Caenorhabditis elegans: one gene and its partners. The protein of the gene in region 3 interacts with the protein of the main gene of each other region in a pairwise test. Each region holds a gene or a part of one and is shown on either strand. Other genes may lie near its edges.

Evidence for each region.
Region 1: the proteins of prx-5 (region 3) and ubq-2 interact in a two-hybrid assay, tested with the Caenorhabditis elegans proteins (one large-scale study listed by BioGRID).
Region 2: the proteins of prx-5 (region 3) and ubxn-1 interact in a two-hybrid assay, tested with the Caenorhabditis elegans proteins (one large-scale study listed by BioGRID).
Region 4: the proteins of prx-5 (region 3) and fkh-6 interact in a two-hybrid assay, tested with the Caenorhabditis elegans proteins (one large-scale study listed by BioGRID).

Annotation. Positions count from the first base shown.
Region 1 is NC_003281.10:12,977,430-12,980,371, forward strand, and holds ubq-2 (Ubiquitin), read right to left. Parts: upstream 1,095-2,942; 5' UTR 1,093-1,094; coding exon 954-1,092; intron 877-953; coding exon 790-876; intron 741-789; coding exon 580-740; 3' UTR 534-579; downstream 1-533. Other genes in the region: ZK1010.2 (DUF155 domain-containing protein), read right to left, coding at 1-433; frg-1 (Protein FRG1 homolog), read left to right, coding at 1,746-1,813, 1,873-2,383, 2,438-2,683.
Region 2 is NC_003279.8:2,432,453-2,436,220, forward strand, and holds ubxn-1 (UBX domain-containing protein 1), read left to right. Parts: upstream 1-1,549; 5' UTR 1,550-1,558; coding exon 1,559-1,770; intron 1,771-1,827; coding exon 1,828-2,100; intron 2,101-2,152; coding exon 2,153-2,399; intron 2,400-2,440; coding exon 2,441-2,564; intron 2,565-3,079; coding exon 3,080-3,123; 3' UTR 3,124-3,239; downstream 3,240-3,768. Other genes in the region: F23C8.8 (Protein kinase domain-containing protein), read right to left, coding at 83-129; tipn-1 (Protein TIPIN homolog), read right to left, coding at 258-445, 502-763, 807-911, 960-1,027, 1,079-1,157. UniProt on the Caenorhabditis elegans protein: Ubiquitin-binding protein which acts as an adapter for ATPase cdc-48.1 and/or cdc-48.2, conferring substrate specificity.
Region 3 is NC_003280.10:8,703,250-8,707,273, forward strand, and holds prx-5 (TPR_REGION domain-containing protein), read left to right. Parts: upstream 1-1,574; 5' UTR 1,575-1,575; coding exon 1,576-1,675; intron 1,676-1,724; coding exon 1,725-1,909; intron 1,910-1,957; coding exon 1,958-2,302; intron 2,303-2,350; coding exon 2,351-2,581; intron 2,582-2,726; coding exon 2,727-2,816; intron 2,817-2,868; coding exon 2,869-3,332; intron 3,333-3,378; coding exon 3,379-3,472; 3' UTR 3,473-3,511; downstream 3,512-4,024. Other genes in the region: Homeobox protein ceh-7, read right to left, coding at 119-175, 383-580.
Region 4 is NC_003280.10:4,379,069-4,384,986, forward strand, and holds fkh-6 (Forkhead transcription factor fkh-6), read right to left. Parts: upstream 4,339-5,918; 5' UTR 4,221-4,338; coding exon 4,183-4,220; intron 4,023-4,182; coding exon 3,914-4,022; intron 2,559-3,913; coding exon 2,347-2,558; intron 2,274-2,346; coding exon 2,120-2,273; intron 1,463-2,119; coding exon 1,157-1,462; intron 968-1,156; coding exon 815-967; 3' UTR 810-814; coding exon of another isoform or gene 765-809; 3' UTR 719-764; coding exon of another isoform or gene 548-718; 3' UTR 517-547; downstream 1-516. Other genes in the region: B0286.1 (uncharacterized protein), read left to right, coding at 349-503, 548-718, 765-809, 4,555-4,614, 5,751-5,913. UniProt on the Caenorhabditis elegans protein: Probable transcription factor. Binds to the DNA sequence motif 5'-[TA]TGTT[TG]T[TG][ATG]TT-3'.

The DNA of each region.
Region 1 (2,942 bases), on a different chromosome or scaffold from region 3:
GAATATGCGATCGCTGACTAGAATCAACGTTCCAAAAAACGACAACTCCATCTCGAAACACGAAAATTTCACTGAGTTCGCCTGGATTGATGGTATATTCCAGTTTTTTGACAAAGTGCAAGCTGTCATCCGCGTCCTCGTCGATTGCAGTTATATTATACATTCCATTGAGCTGTGCATCCATGATGACCTCATTGAGGTTCAGTGATTCTGAAAGTGCCATGGCGACGACTGAAGGTTCTCGTAGGGATTTTGGAACAACCGATGAAGCAACTGGGCGTCTCTTCTTCATCTTTCTAACTTGAACCCGTTCCAGATTAATTATCTCTTTGGGCTGGGTCTCGCTCCGCAGAAGTGCTGTGAATGAGAACTGGCGCCTGGCTGGACCCGGCTTTGTAGCTACTAGAGCTCCCCGAAGTATTGATTTGAGCATCTGTATTTTATAATGATTCTTTGTTACCATGTACAAATCTCATTCCAAAAATCCAATATTTACGAAATTTACGTTTTGCACAAATAGCGACATTCAATTAAAATTAACGATTTATTTGCCAACACATGGACTGGAACGAGTGAAGATTACTTCAGCTTCTTCTTGATGCGGAGCTCGCTGGAGTGTCCGCACTTCTTCTTTCTGCAGTTGCTGGCACGTGGTGGGAGACGAGCATAGCACTTTCTGCAGATCTGCTTGTCGCAGTTGTACTTCTGGGCGAGCTGACGGAGAGATGGCTCGATGATTCCTGAATTTAGAAATATTTCTCAATGCCTGAACATTAGAAAAAAACTAACCTCCACGAAGACGGAGCACCAAGTGGAGAGTAGACTCCTTTTGGATGTTGTAGTCGGAGAGAGTACGTCCATCCTCGAGTTGCTTTCCTGAAATTAGAAAATTATATTGGGTGTTTTGCCCGGAAATTAATTCAAGAATATATCAGGTCTGAATAATAACGTACCGGCGAAGATCAATCTTTGCTGATCTGGTGGGATTCCCTCCTTGTCTTGGATCTTGGCCTTGACATTCTCAATGGTATCGGAAGCCTCGACTTCGAGGGTAATAGTCTTACCCGTCAGAGTCTTGACGAAGATTTGCATGACTGAAATTATATAATTTGAAAAGAAACCGAGTAAAATTGTCAGAAAATGACGGCGAGAGCGAAACATTTGGAGGAGAGCGTAGGGGCAAAAATTATTGATTTTTCTTTAGAGACTAGTTTCAAAGGTGACAAAAGACGTTATAGACCGCATAATGTGTGTAACTACCCATTTAGAACAAAGAGGAAAGAATATTTTGCGTTAAAAAGCTGTAAAAATTCAAGAATAGAGAAATTATTTAGCAAAAAAATGAAATTTCATAATAAATTCGTTTTCCAAGCTTAAAATACAACAGAATCTCCACTTTCTATGCTGAACAAGCGTCCAGAACAATATTTTGATTAAATTGAACAGAAATTTGGAAAAATTTCGCAGAGAAACGGCGAAAATCGAGCAAAAAAACGGAAAAAATTTAGGCCCAGCGACACAAATGGAGGATTGCCGTGGTGATGGGTCTCGCCGCGAAATTGAGAGACGGCGAAAGTACGGTAGAGAGCTGCAGGATTTACGGGAAGGGGGAGAAGAATTCGAATATTATTTTTTTGTTTCAAACGTTTTTCGAACGTTTTTTTATTGATTTCTTCGAGTTTTGTTATGAAATTTACAGTTTTATTGATGAAAATTTTGTTTTTTATTGCAGAAAACTTCAAAAAATGCCAGGCGCTGACTACAGTGCTGTAAAAGGTGGTGGATTGAAATTAAAAGCCGGAAAAAAGAATTTGTAAGTGACATATTCAAGTTTAAAGTGTATAAAATCCTCCATTAATTCACTCGTTGCAGATTCAAAGTGGGAAAGGAGAAAAAGAAGAAGAACAAAGACGACAAGGAGAAAATCGATCCAGACACCGTCGAAAATGGTGGTTGGCGCAAAATTGCCGATGAATTCGATATGAAAGGAGGAACCAACGTCGCCATCGAAGTTGCCAGTGGAGCCGGCTCAACGCGAACTTATGTCGCTGCAATGGACAACGGAAAATTCACAATTGGATTTCCACATCCGGAGGGAGAAGGCCCGAATCCTGAGGAAATTTTCGCGCTCGTCAAAACTCCAGACGATAGTAAAATCAGTTTGAAGACAGGATTCGGAAGATATGTTGGAGTGGACAGCGAATATCAATTGGTTGCCATGGCTGAAGCTATTGGATCCCGCGAGCAATTCGTGTTGGTTTTCCAGGAGGGAAAAACCGCGTTCCAAGCCGTCTCCTCACCACTTTTCCTCTCTACAGTTCCAAATAAAGAGGGGCATATTTATGTGGCTAGTAGAACCGCTACGGAGAATGAAATGGTTAATGTAAGTGCTAATTTAGATATAAATAGATAAAATCCGATTAAATTCAATTTCCAGATCCGTACAGACGCTATACAAGAAGGCCCAGTCGATTGGAGATCTGTGGAAGACCGCAAAAACGCTCGGGAGTGTGAGACGGCCTACGTGAAGATGTATCAGCACTCGAAGGTTGATCTCAAGAACCGACATATTGCGATTGACGTGAAGGACAAGAAAGGAGTTAAGAAAGCGCAGGCCGACGGAAGTGCACACGAGCTGCTGCTGGACAGACGGATGAAAATGAAATCTGATCGATATTGTTAATAATCTTCACTTGTATTTGTTCTGTAAAATTCAATAAATTCTCTAATAATTATTCTTTTACTTTCTTTTTTTGTTTAAGGATGGAGTATCGTCAATGGGGAAATTGCTTTAAAATACTCTTATAAGAGCTCTTATAGGGCCACCAAAAATCTCAGTTTTCACTATTTGAATTACCGCCAATTAAGTTTGTTCGACGGGGCGCGCTTGCATTATTTTTAAAATTTAATCTTATTTATTCTCGTTATTTGACTGATTTCCT
Region 2 (3,768 bases), on a different chromosome or scaffold from region 3:
GAATTCCAATATTTTGAGAATATTCGTTGGAAAAACGGCGAAAATCAAGAAAAACTCGAATTTTTGACCTCCAGAAACTCACATCGGAATCAACTTTTCTGTAGACGGAGAGAGTGTTGGCGTTGACATGTCATAACAATAAGGAATGTAGTTTTATTCGATAAAAAAAAGGTCTCACGCTTTGGAAAATTCGAGAACAAAGAAAAGTTCATAAAAATATAAAATACACGTGAAATTAAAAAAAATTAATTGCTCTATCACCAATCGTTATTCATATCACCGAAATCTTCCATAAGAGCATCTTCGTCAGCAGCTTCCTTGGCTTCCTGTTCCTCTCGCAGCCGCTCTTCCTCCATCATTCGATACTCTTCCTCGACATTTTCATCAATTTCAGCGGTTTTTTGGTCGGATTTTTCAGAATTTTTAGCTTTTTCAGTCGTGACTTCTGAAATTGAAAGATTTTTTGATTTTCTAATAACAAGTTTGGATAAATTTTGCAACCTTTCTCTGGTAAATCCTTGAATAAATCATCGTCATTATCACTCGCTCCATCATCAATAATTCCATTCTTTTGATTCTCCTGCTCCTCGTGCTCAGAATCCTCGCCAGTCTCTCCAAGCCGGTGCTTGATCATGAAAACTTTAACCTGCCGCCGTGTTCCCAGTGTCTCGACTCGATTCAGAACATCTTCGGTTTTCATCTTCGGAAACATCAAATGTCCCCAGTATGCGTATTTTTTCATCAATTTCTCCAGATTTGCGTACTGAAAAGGGAAAATTATTGTATTTTTTAACTTTCAAATTTACCGGATCATCCTTGGGATTTGGCTTGAAATCTTTTAAAGTCTCCCGAAGAGCTGAAATTCCTTTCGGCCCGGTCAAAATTCGCTCATTCAGTGCTAGGCGTGGATTCTAAAGTTTGAAAAAATTTAAATAAATCATAGAAAATAAGCGTTTTACTGCTAGTCTTTTAGTCCTTAACAATTTCGGCTCCACGACTCGTCTAGTGCCTCCCTCGCCGCTGTTATCTGAACAAAACTTTAATTAAAACCCGATTTCTCACACGAAATTCTAGATACCTTCGATTGCTTCGTCTCCCATAGGGCTTGGCTCTCGATCCAATTCATCATTTTCGAAGAAATCTTCCATTTCGTCCATTTTTCTGGAAAAAAAGTTGATTTTCGATCGAAATTTCTAGGTTTTCGTGCAGAAAACGAAAAAAAATGCAAAAATCTTAGCGTTTAAAAAACTATTTTCAAACAACGCGCCGACAAAATCGGCTGAATCGCGTCGAGACCCGATCGATTAAATGCGTGCGCCTTTAAAGAAAGTCAGCATTCTCTTTGTGTTCTTGGCTAGAAAAAGTGTTCCAGTCCATTTATTATCTGAATTTTCTGATTTAAACGCATTTCTTAAGGTTTTTTATTAATTAAACCACTTTATTGTTAATATATCACTGTTTTGAACAGCTTATTTCGTAAAAAATCCCAAAATTCTTCTGGAAAATGAGAAAAAATCTAGTTTTTCGCCAAATTGTCGCATTTCTTTCCAGAATAACAATGTCGATCGCCCAACAACTCATGGATATGGGCTTCCCAGCCGACAAAGCCGAGGCCGCCGCCGGAAACAACAGAAATCTCGATCAGGCGTTGGATTGGATTGAGAAGGACGGAGCCGGTGTACCAATGGAGACAGATGCTCCAGCTCAAGCTGCTCCAGGAGCCGCTGACAGTGGTGCACCCCCGGTAGCCGCCAGTTTTAAGTGTGATGAGTGAGTTTTTCCCCCCTACGATTCTTATTAATTATTTCTCCAAATTTTTTTTTCCAGCTGCGGAAAGCTTCTCGCCAACGATGATGCTATCATGTTCCACGCTTCGAAGACAAAGCACGAGAATTTCAGCGAAAGCTCGGAAGCTATCAAGCCTCTCACTGCAGAGGAAAAGGCCGCAAAAGTCCTGGAAATCCGAGAAAAAATCAAAGTCCATCAGGCCAAAAAGGCAAAGCTCGAGGCCGAAGAGAATCGTGAGAAGGAGAAAAAGCGTCGTGAGGATGGAAAAGCCATGATCAGCCATAAAGAAGCCGCCAGAGATCGTGAAATTCGGTTAGAAAACTGTTTTCCATTGAATTTAAATAATAATATTCCCAATTTGCAGAGAAGCCGCTCAAGATCGTCGCCGCGAAAAGAACGAAGACGAAATCGCCAGAAAACGAGTTCTCGAGCAAATCCGGCTTGACAAGGAAGCCCGTAAGGCAAAAGCTTCAGGCCAACCGGTTCCAGAGGCAAAGCCTGCTCCGTCTGCAGCTCCAGTTGCTCCGCCAAAAGACTACTCAACTACAACTCTTCAATTCCGACTTCTCGATGGACAAACTGTTAGACAACAGTTTGAAGCTAATGAGCCGGTAATTTAAATATTCTCGACTCCCTTGAATTAATTTTTCAGCTCGCAATGGTCCGCGCCTGGGTCGAAACTAATCACGCAAACGGTGTTCCGTTCACCCTGATGACCCCATTCCCCCGCAAAGTGTTCACCGAGGATGATATGGGAACACCGCTCAAAGTTCTCAGTGAGTTTTGCTCAAAAAGGCCGGATTTCATGATGAAACTTGGAAATTTTCGAAAAAAAAAGTGGACGATTTTCAGCTATTTCGCCAACTTTTCCTGTTCACAGCTGCCGGAAATTTATTTTTATTCGATTTTTGTCCTTCTTCAGCAAAAAGACTCAATTTAACTGAAGAATCTGAAAAAGTGCTCAAAAATGGCCTAGAAGTCACGAATTGTCAATTGTAAGGCAATTTTTGAGCACTTTCGAATTTTTCAGTTAAATTAAGTATTATTTTCAGAAAAATCAACTGATTTTCTATATTTTGACACTAATTTTTAAATATTGGAGCAGTATGGTGCAATTTGACTTTAAATGTGCCTAAATCAACGAAAAAAACGCTAAAATATATAGATTTCTGCTGTAATTGGGCCATTTTTTCGAAAAAAATAAATAAAAATTTGAAAAGTTTCGTTATGAATTTTGGTTTTTTGAGACCAAAAAAATGTTCATTCTCTAATTTTTTTTTAAAATTTTCAGATTTGGTACCATCCGCCAACGTCATTCTCAACCGTGCCGCCTGAATCTTCAAAACTAAATTCCCACAATTTACTGCTAATTTTCTCTCCCCCCTCTCCCGAATGCTGGTATCACTTGTAAACTAAACATGTATATTGAGCATGTATAAAAATTTTCCGATAAACTTTTTTCCCCTCCATATATCTCGAGGCTCTTCATCTCCTCGTGATCTTCGAATTCCCGTCAGTTTTGCTCTCCGAGCTCTTGCCACAGATTTCTGACAAGCTGCAGGACAATCATATCTCCAGAGTGATTGGAAGCATTAGAACCTGGAAGATATTGGAATAAAAACCTGCGTACTGCACAACATATTTGACGCGCAAAATATCTCGCAGCGAAAACTGCAGTAATTCTTTAAATGATTACTGTAGGTCGATTTACGGGCTCAGATTTTCTTTTCGATTTAATTTAAGAGGCCCCACCAAAACGGAATGCAACTCAAAACAGGATACAGGGGCGGAGCCTATTTCGCAACCACCGCATGCTTTTTCCGCAAGCCTCGCACGTTTTTTCTCTTTAAAAAATGCAACAACATCAAGGAAAAAACGTGCGAGGCTTGCGGGAAAAGCATGCGCGGTTGTTGCGAAATAGGCTCCGCCCTTGCATCCTGTTTTGGTGAATCCTGTTTTGAGTTGCATTCTGTTTTGGTG
Region 3 (4,024 bases):
CAGGAATTTGCTCTCGAGGAGTTTTCAAAACCGTAAAGCGATGTTTTCAATGTTGGAAATAGTGGTTCTAACTACAAAATTTATTTCAGTGAAATGAAATTAAATAAATATTTGACTATTATTTATTGGCTTCTCTTCTCATCCGGATTCGACGATTTTGGAACCAAATCTTCACCTGTAATGTGCTACGTCTCGGAAAATTATTGAATGATAACAACTGATTTAAAAATTTTTTATTTTTTTCCTAGATTGATCTAATCACATCTTTACAACATACAATCGGATATGTTAGACTTAACGTAGAAGTTGCTGGAGCTCAGCCTGGTGGATAAATTTCGCAAACAATTTTAATAGAGAATAGATTTCTAAAAACAATAGAAACCTGATATTCATCTAGACTCAAAATCCTTGCCAATCTTTCCCTTTCATCACATCCAACATACTGACTTTGTGCAAAATACATTTCGAGTAAATATAGTTGTTCCACTGTAAATGTGGTTCTTCTACGTGGAATTCTGGAGGTTGAAGCTTCTGGTCTAACCATCATCAGTAAGAATGTAAAGACCATTTCGTGTTTCATATTTATGCCGTCAATTGTCAGTACAAGGGGCCGCCCGTTTTCGTTTCGTTTCGTTTAAATTATAGGGAATACATTATAAAATCACACCTTTTGTGTATATCTTCGTAGTTTTATTGGACATTTTAATAGGCCTTGTTTATAAAAGAAAATATAATAATGATGACATTATACAAAAAAGTATTCAAGGAATGTTTTATAGTTACAAAACCTATAGGTATACAGAATATGTCAAAATAGGGGAAAAAACTGAATGTATGCAGTCGACGAATAAGGTTGTCTTGACATTTTTTTGGTTAATAATGTTTTTCCTGCCAGTTTCGATATCTTTGAAATTTTGATCCAGATGACATCAATCCTAGCTATGGAATAATGGGGGAACTCTCTTTAAATTCACAACTTCATTCGAGCAAAATTTGTCTTTTGCACACGAAAAATTATTATTATTATTGCACAATCAAATATTTTTCCCCCGTGCAAGTGTGCAATGGGGCGACGGGTCGAGCCAGAAACCCGTGTTGTTGAAAATCAAACCAAGTGCAAAATATCCATTTTGCTTAATTTAAAACGATCTAGGATAACTCCACTAGCAACTAGAATATCTAATTGAAGGATTGAAATTTGGAAACTTACAATAAGGTATTCTATTTTATTACGTTTTCAATCTTGCTAGGAAAACTTGGAAAAAAAATCCATAAACGTTTCCCGGTTATTTCAGAAATCGATAGTCGACCTCCGTTGTTCCTTATCTAAATTTCATCAATTGTATCCTTTTTGATAAGACAATACTATCTTTTTATCACTACGTCTCCTTCACTCTAAATCCTAATGTAGTATCAATCAATTTGATGAAAAGACTACACTGGGGCCCACTTATTTTCTTTTTCAATCAAAATTCACACTTTATTTTATATATTTCTTGTAAATTGTATTTTTCTTCATTTTTAATTCTACTTTTTTTCAACAATTAACTCTCGAATTCTTCAATTTTTTACAGAATGAAAGGAGTTGTAGAAGGACAATGTGGACAGCAGAATGCTCTTGTCGGGTTAGCTAACACATTTGGAACATCCAATCAAAGAGTCGCTCCGAGTAATGGTAAGCTGGAAATATTCAAGTAAAAATTAACAAAAAAAAAAGTTTTTAGCTGCAGCTTCTCTTCTCCCATCTTCTTCTATGGGAGAACAAATGGCTAATGAATTTTTAAGACAACAAGCGAGAACAATGGCTCCAACAAGTTTCAGCATGAAGTCGATGCAGAATAATTTACCACAGGCATCAGCATCCTCAAGTTTGGCAGCAAATTGGACAAAGGAGTTTCAACCGCGACAGGTATTTCTAATGCATTCATATATTGGTATTTTCAATTGATTGCTTCAGAACCAGTTAGCGAGTCAATGGAGTCAACAATACACATCTAGTGCTCCAAGCATGGAATCTGCATGGCGTCAAGTTCAAGCTCCATCAATGACATCCACGTCATCACATCAACCAATAACAGATGCTGGTATGTGGTCATCTGAATATCTGGATACTGTGGATACTTCTTTAACCAAATCTTCTGGGACTCAAAACTGGGCTGATGATTTTATGGAGCAACAAGATAATTATGGAATGGAAAACACTTGGAAAGATGCACAGGCTTTTGAACAGAGATGGGAGGAAATTAAGAGAGATATGGAAAAGGACGAATCTCTTCAAAGTCCTGAAAACTATGTTTATCAGGTAAGATTTTTGTCTTCTTTAACACATTTTTATAACCCTCCTATTCAGGAAGCAAACCCTTTCACAACCATGTCAGATCCACTGATGGAAGGAGACAATCTAATGAGAAATGGAGATATTGGAAATGCCATGCTTGCCTATGAAGCAGCAGTTCAAAAAGATCCTCAGGATGCACGTGCCTGGTGTAAATTAGGATTGGCTCATGCTGAAAATGAAAAAGATCAGTTAGCAATGCAAGCGTTCCAAAAATGTTTGCAGATTGACGCTGGAAACAAGGAGGTAAAATTTGAGAAAAATATTTGATTATTTGATGCCATAAAATAGATAGGTCGCGATAAAATTCATATCTGTCTCTTAAAACTTTTTAAGAACAGAAATTAAGAAAAAAAAAAAAAAACTTCCAATAAAATCAAAATTATTTCAGGCACTTCTTGGTTTGTCTGTCAGTCAAGCGAACGAAGGAATGGAAAATGAAGCTTTACATCAATTGGATAAATGGATGTCTTCTTACTTGGTATTTCTTATTTTTATTTCAAGAATAATCCCACACGAATAAATATTTTAAGGGTTCAAACTCGACTCAAGTGACAACCACACCTCCACTCTACTCTTCATTTCTGGACAGTGACACTTTTAATCGAGTTGAGGCTAGATTCTTGGATGCTGCTCGGCAACAAGGAGCAACTCCAGATCCAGATCTTCAAAATGCTCTCGGAGTTTTATACAACTTGAATCGCAATTTTGCAAGAGCTGTCGACTCTCTCAAGTTGGCGATCTCCAAAAATCCAACTGATGCTCGTCTCTGGAATCGTCTTGGTGCTACGTTAGCCAATGGTGACCACACAGCTGAAGCCATTTCAGCATATCGAGAAGCTTTGAAATTGTATCCAACATATGTCAGAGCAAGATACAATTTGGGAATATCTTGTATGCAATTATCATCTTATGATGAAGCTTTGAAACATTTTTTATCTGCATTAGAATTGCAAAAAGGAGGAAATGATGCATCTGGTATTTGGACAACTATGAGGTTAGTTTATAGCTTTATATGTTAAAATCACCTTCACAAATTTCAGATCAGCAGCAATCCGAACATCGAATGTCCCTGACAATTTACTGAGAGCAGTGGAAAGACGAGATTTGGCAGCTGTAAAAGCCTCTCTAGTCTAGAATAATTACAATTTAAATACTAAAATAAATAATTATTTTTCCTCGAATTTTTTTACTTGGTTTTCAAACTTTCATTTTGAAAATCTCAATTTCAAGCCGATCACGAGTTTGGAAGGGTCATAAAATGTTATTACAGCGGTAAGAAAGCAGGAAGTAAACCGACCTAGCACAAAAAGTGTTCAGCTCATTTTGTTTTGTTTGTAGAACTCACATTGTTAGAGCTCAATGAAATGATTGAATAATGCCTAAATTAAAATAACATTCTTCAAGACTTCTAGACACTAAGTAATCAAATCCTATCATTTCTCTTACGGTGAATTTCTACAAAATGCTCAGAAATTCCACATGAGTCACCGTTCCATGAGTAAAACCTCGGAACATATGACTGATTCTATTTATTATCATCTTTCCGCCACCCTCTTCCAAACGTCTCACTCTTTTCTATTTGCCGGTCATCGAACACATTCTTCCTTTTCTCTTTCTGTCTTTGAAGCACATGACATGGCCATTTATCATGAAAAGGTACAGCTGGTTGAAGAAGAAGAAGATCCG
Region 4 (5,918 bases), 4.3 Mb from region 3:
ATTTCTCGCAGAAAAATTTTCTCGAAAAAAATTAATTATTGGTCACAGTTTGATCTCAAAAAATTTGAACTTACTACAAATTTAGACTACAAATTTTTTGGACAAAATTTTACCAAAATTTTGTTCTCAGAGACTTAGATTTTCTTGCCAACTTTTATTTGGTAAATTTTAAATTCCGATTAATATTAGTTTTTGAAATAATAAGTACTATAAACTTAAGTTTATAAATAAAATTGATATCGGTGATTTTTTTTCTTCGAAAAACCCTCCAAATTGAGTAGATCTGCCATTAAAAAAAAACTGAAAAAAAAACACTTTAAAAGTCAAATCACTGTTTTTTTCTTTCAGTAATCTGGCTGCACAAAAAGAAGATCGAGGCTGAATTACAATCCCGCCACGCCGAATCAACCAAATTTTTAAGCAAAATTAAATTAAAAGAGTCAGAAATTTACGGGTTGAAGACAAAACAAGAAACGTGCCAGAAGGAGTTGACGGATTGTCAGGTAAGATTTGAAATTTTTTTAAAACCATAATTCATGTTTTATAGACTTTAAAAGAAGAGCCAAAAGAGCAAAAAAAAGAAAACAATAAAAACGATGAAAATTCGAAGAAAACAATCGAAAAATATGAACAAGAAATTGCGGGTCTCAAAGAGAAAATTGAAGGTTTGGAGGAGAAGGTGAAGAATAATTATTCGGATGAAAATTCTAGCTTGAAGGTAATCTGAAATTAATTACCAAAATATTTCAAAAAATTTATTCCAGGAGGAACTGAAACAGTGCGAAACGAGGATCAGGCAGTTGACAGGGGTAAGTTAAGATGAAGCTGGGAATTGTTGTCCATAACCATAGAGAGATGGGTCATCAAATGATAATCCCGTGAAAGTGGTTGTTGGTTGACAGGACCAATTGGTATAAGGGGGCATGAAGGCGTTTGGGTACATGTTGCTTGCAGTGGAGAGCAGTTGCTGGAATAAGTTTTAGGAGGGTTTTTGATTAGTTATGAAAATTCTAAAATTTAGAAAAAGTGGAGATAGGAGAAAAAGTGGAGATAGCATAATTTTTACCGACTTCAAAATTTCTCCATTAAGCTGCAAGAGTTAAAAAAAAAGTAGCATAAACTTTATTTAAAACATTTTTTGAAAATTTCAACTAACCTGTTGCTCGATACTCCTCGGATCAGTCATCTGAAGACTTGTCAAGAATGTTGTACTTGAAATCCCAGGGATCAATGGCTTCATATCAACTAGAACCTCCTCTTTGACAGTATCCGATGGTACAACTTCTACATCAGACACAACTGGTGGTGGTTGAGATGGAGCCACTAGATTTGTGTCGAAATGAGAAGTTGGAATTGGGAAGGCGCTTGTGTAAATTGAGGTATCAAATGATGACGATGAGGAAGAGGAGTTGTTGATTTGGGAGGTGTTGGCACTATCAGTGATGGAGTTGGGGTATTGGAACTGAAAAATTGAAAGTGTTAGATCTGCACCCCGATTGTGCTCTATTTTGACCGCTTATATCATGGTTGCCTGAAATTTTATCAAATAATTGTCATTATTTAAATGTAGAGAAATATTTTGCCCATATTTTGTCAACTGACAATTTTTGATAACAACAAAGGGAGTCAAGATATAAGCTGTCAAAGTAGACCAAGGCATGGAGTCCACTTTTTGGGCTTTTTTGGTAGGCAGGCACGCCTTCAGGCGTACTTACCTACTTTATATTTTTCTGCCTATGCCTGCCTATGATCTAAAATTTACAAGCAGGCATAGTTGTCTTTGTGAAATATTTGCACAGTTCGCTAATTTCTTTAAGATCTTTTTGAGATTGGCACAGTTTCCTCGGAGTTTTGAGTATTTTCATGAAAGTTTTTTTTGGAAAAACAATTATTAATAAAATTATTTTTAATTGGGAATATAAAGCAACTTTGCTTCATTTTATAAGAGTTGTAACGAAAATTTCACAACTAACTAGTAAGGACTCTGGGGCTAAACGATAAGCTTACTACAGATTCACCAATATTTTTAGTACAATTTCGTAAATTTGTTGCCTGTTCGAATTTTTCATGGGGCGTTAGCGTTCAGATTCCCGAAAATCTTCACTGGGCAATTATTTACCTTAAAAAACTGGAAAGGATCCATAGTTTGAATATTCTGTGGCCACTTCAACCCGTTGAAAAACGGAAGCTGTTGCTGTAGAATGGTCCCTGTTTCAGTAGTTTCCGTCGTATTCGCATAACCCATTTTTCCGATTCCAAGTCTTTTGACACGTCTGTAAATACATGAACAAATAGTCATTTTTCACGAGTGTATAATAATAATAATCCTCTTGTCACTATCCATACCTTCTCTTAAAGTTGCCGTTGTCAAACTGAGGCGCATTGTCCGCCACCATTTGCCAATAGTTGCCCTTTCTGTCGTTCGCGCAGCTTTGTCCGTCTCGTGCTTTTTTGACAAAGCAGTCGTTGAGTGACAGATTGTGTCGAATACTGTTCTGCCATCCCTGTTTTCGTTTCGCGTCCGCGTCACGGTAATATGGGAATTTGGCCTCGATGAACTGAAACACACATCATCGGTTTTGTTTGCGCCTGATAGGAAACTAACATACTTTGAAAGGTTATATCTCGGTTCATAATAAAGATATCAATGAATGATCAACTACAAACCTATAGAAAAATAACCAAAAAATATTTGGCTGGTAGACAATTTTTGTTTAGGACAAACGAGAGCTGAGATATTAACTGTCAAAGTTGAATACTAAGGTTTTTGGGTCTTGACACGAAGAAGGTCTATATATATATATATTGACATTGTTATTGACTTGTAGGAGAGAGGAAAAGTTGTTCACTGTGTAAATGTTATGGGAGAGGCACAGGGTGCCCCCCACACCAAATTAGTCAGATCTATTAAGGTTGATGAGTCAAAACGGAAGAGTGGAAGTGGTGGGTTACGGTAGATGTGCTGGCTAGTGAGTTGGGTTTTCCAGAGTTAGATTGAACTGAACATTACTAGATCACTTGTGACAGGGTTACGGTAGGGCAGGGCTAGGTGGAAAAAAAAAGCAACCAACTGAATATCACAACAAAAATATCAATGTATGAAACTTACTGTACGAAAATGTGATATGGGAAAGATGATGTAGAACCTTAAGAACTTTTTTTCGAATTTCGTTTTTTTTGTAGCAATAAGGAGCAGATTAATTTTACTGCTATATAATCGTGTTAGAAAATCTCCAAAATAACAGATATTTTGAGGCTTTTCTAGTAATTTCAAAACAATTTAAAGTACAAAAAATATAGGGAGAATCTCCGGAGAAGTGACGAATATTTTTCTGGATTTTTAAATGAAGTATATGTCATTACAAGATGATCGCCAAATTTTTCGCTTCAAAGGAGCATTTTGAACTAGAAAATGTTTCATTAAATGGCTCGGCTTGATCAGTTTTATATGACTAAATAGACTCCGATGATTCAAGTTTTCAAATAATTGAAATTTACAAAAAAATCTTTCAAACGTTTGCCTATACCTGAAAAACTTAAAAGAAGATAAAAATCGGATTTGGAACAATTTCAGCAGCCTCGAAGTTAGTGTAAAGTGAGATAAAAATTCTCAGAAAAAAAGTAATTTTTAAAGTTTTGGAATTGAATTTCGTAGATCTATTTTTGCAGGAATAACTGAAAGTTCTAGCACATATTTTAATACTCAATATGACGTCCAAAAAAAACTGGAATATTCCGCTAACATTGTGAAAAATTTGCTCAAAAATTCTTCAAAATTTGAATTGCCGCACCAGTTTTGGGTTTTTAAAATGGTATTTTTCCGCAAAAAAGTATTTAGTTTTAGCAAAATTTTCATGATAATTCCTCCAAAACCGCTATACCAAAAAAACGTTATCGAAAAGCTTCCCGTTACCTTGTAAATCTGATTCAACGTCATTCTCTTATCCGGCGAAGCATCGATTGCCATTGCAATAAGTGCAACGTAACTGTATGGCGGCTTGTCAATCGAATTTCCCTCTTGACTGGAAAGAGCTCTTTTATTTTCAAAACTTTGCCTCTAACAGAATTTTGCAACGGGGATTTTGTATTTAGAGAAGAAGAAAAAGAAAATATGTTTCCCCTCTCTCTCTCCCTCTCTAAAAACAATAATAAATAAATAAAATAAATAAATACATAACTTACACAATATGAAATGGAAGATGTGTTTGATGGCGAGTCATGATTATTGTATTTTTTTATGGTAGGGGGTGTCAAATGAGACAACGGATTATGCAGAAGCTAAGAGTGAGGGCGGGGTCTCGGAACTGTGAAGACGGAGGTGTGGGTGGAGGGAAAGAAATGGAAGAAGATTGTGCACACTGTCTCCTTCTCCCCCCTGTGTGCTCCTGACATTTTCTGGTGCTGATTCACTGGTAAAAGGGAAACAGAAACATCCAATCTGATCATCTCTTACTTTTTATATTTTGTAAATAAACGAAAAATCGAAAGGGAGAACACGACGACGATTGGAGAATATTTGTATTACAACACAAAATTACACACAACTTTTTACAGGGAGGAGCCATCGAGCATTACTCGCAAAATGAGACGGCACATTTCAGCAGGAATCAGAAGGTTTGTGCTTCTTTTTGTTGTACACAGTACTCCCGTTACAGTAATCTGGAATTATTCTGAAAATTTTGCGATTTTTTAATCCTTAACTTGACCATATTTTTTGACTTTCCAGCGACTTTTAGTCACCTTTCATTCATTGTATTTTTTCTACTAGACTTCCAGGCACTTTCCTTTACTTTGACAGCGTATATCTCAGCTCTTTTTGATTTTATCAAAAATTATTAACTGGCAAAGTACTCCCAAAATAATTCTCTACATTTTATTAGTTTATCATTTTTTGTTAAAATCTAAGTGAACCAAGACATAAGTCGTCAAAGTGGAGCAATGTCGGCGCAAGGCTAATAGGGAAAATTGGCAAAATAGTAGATCAAAATGATTTCCAATTTTTTTTTTCAAACTTCTGAAAAACAAATTTGTTTTAAAATTAATGATTATAAACCACAAGTATCGTTTTTTTTTTAATTTAAATTTAATTTCATTAAAAACTGGATTTTTTTAACTTTTTAAATTTCCAGCCACATTTTTGGGCATTGTTTTCTGTAGCCTCGAAAAGTGAATAGAAGTGCCTGGATCGACCAAAATAATTTGAAATATTTGTTTTAATGCTAAAACGGTCAATTCAGACAAAACTAGCCATTTTCCAAAGCATCAGAAAAATTTAGAAACAAATTTAGAAAACTTGAAAATTTTTGATTGCAAAATTTTCGATTTTTTCGAAAAAAAAAAGATTTTTATCAATAATAATTTCCCTCAAGAAAGTGATTTTAAAAATGGTTGTTTAAAATAATTCACCACATAATCAGAATTTCAAATATTCAAACAATTTCCAAAATTGGATATTTTTCATAGATAGTTCTATTTTTTCACACTTTCAATTTTTCTCTGTGTAGTTTCAGAATCACAAGATATTTTCCCATTTGAAACGAAAACATATCACTTTAAATAAATCACCTGAATATTTGCCACTGTTTTGCTTATCTGTCTGACTTTCTCTTATCAACAAATTGTTTCAAACTTTTTGATCAAAGGTCTTGCTTGTTTCTATTTTTACTTACTCCCTGTATTTCTTTTCACATGAGTCTACAAGAGAGAAAAAAGTAGCCGTCATAAGGGTCAACTAACTACTCCATTTTCAGGCTGATGAACCATTGTTCTTCGATCGAGGTAACATTCAACATCACATCCCGCAAAAGTTGTTATTGGGACGAGAATTGGTGCAGACACTGGAAGAGGCAAAAGTGAAAAAGTTGGAGGAGAGAGAACAAATGGACAAGCATCCACAGGATCGCGATAATAAAGGTGAC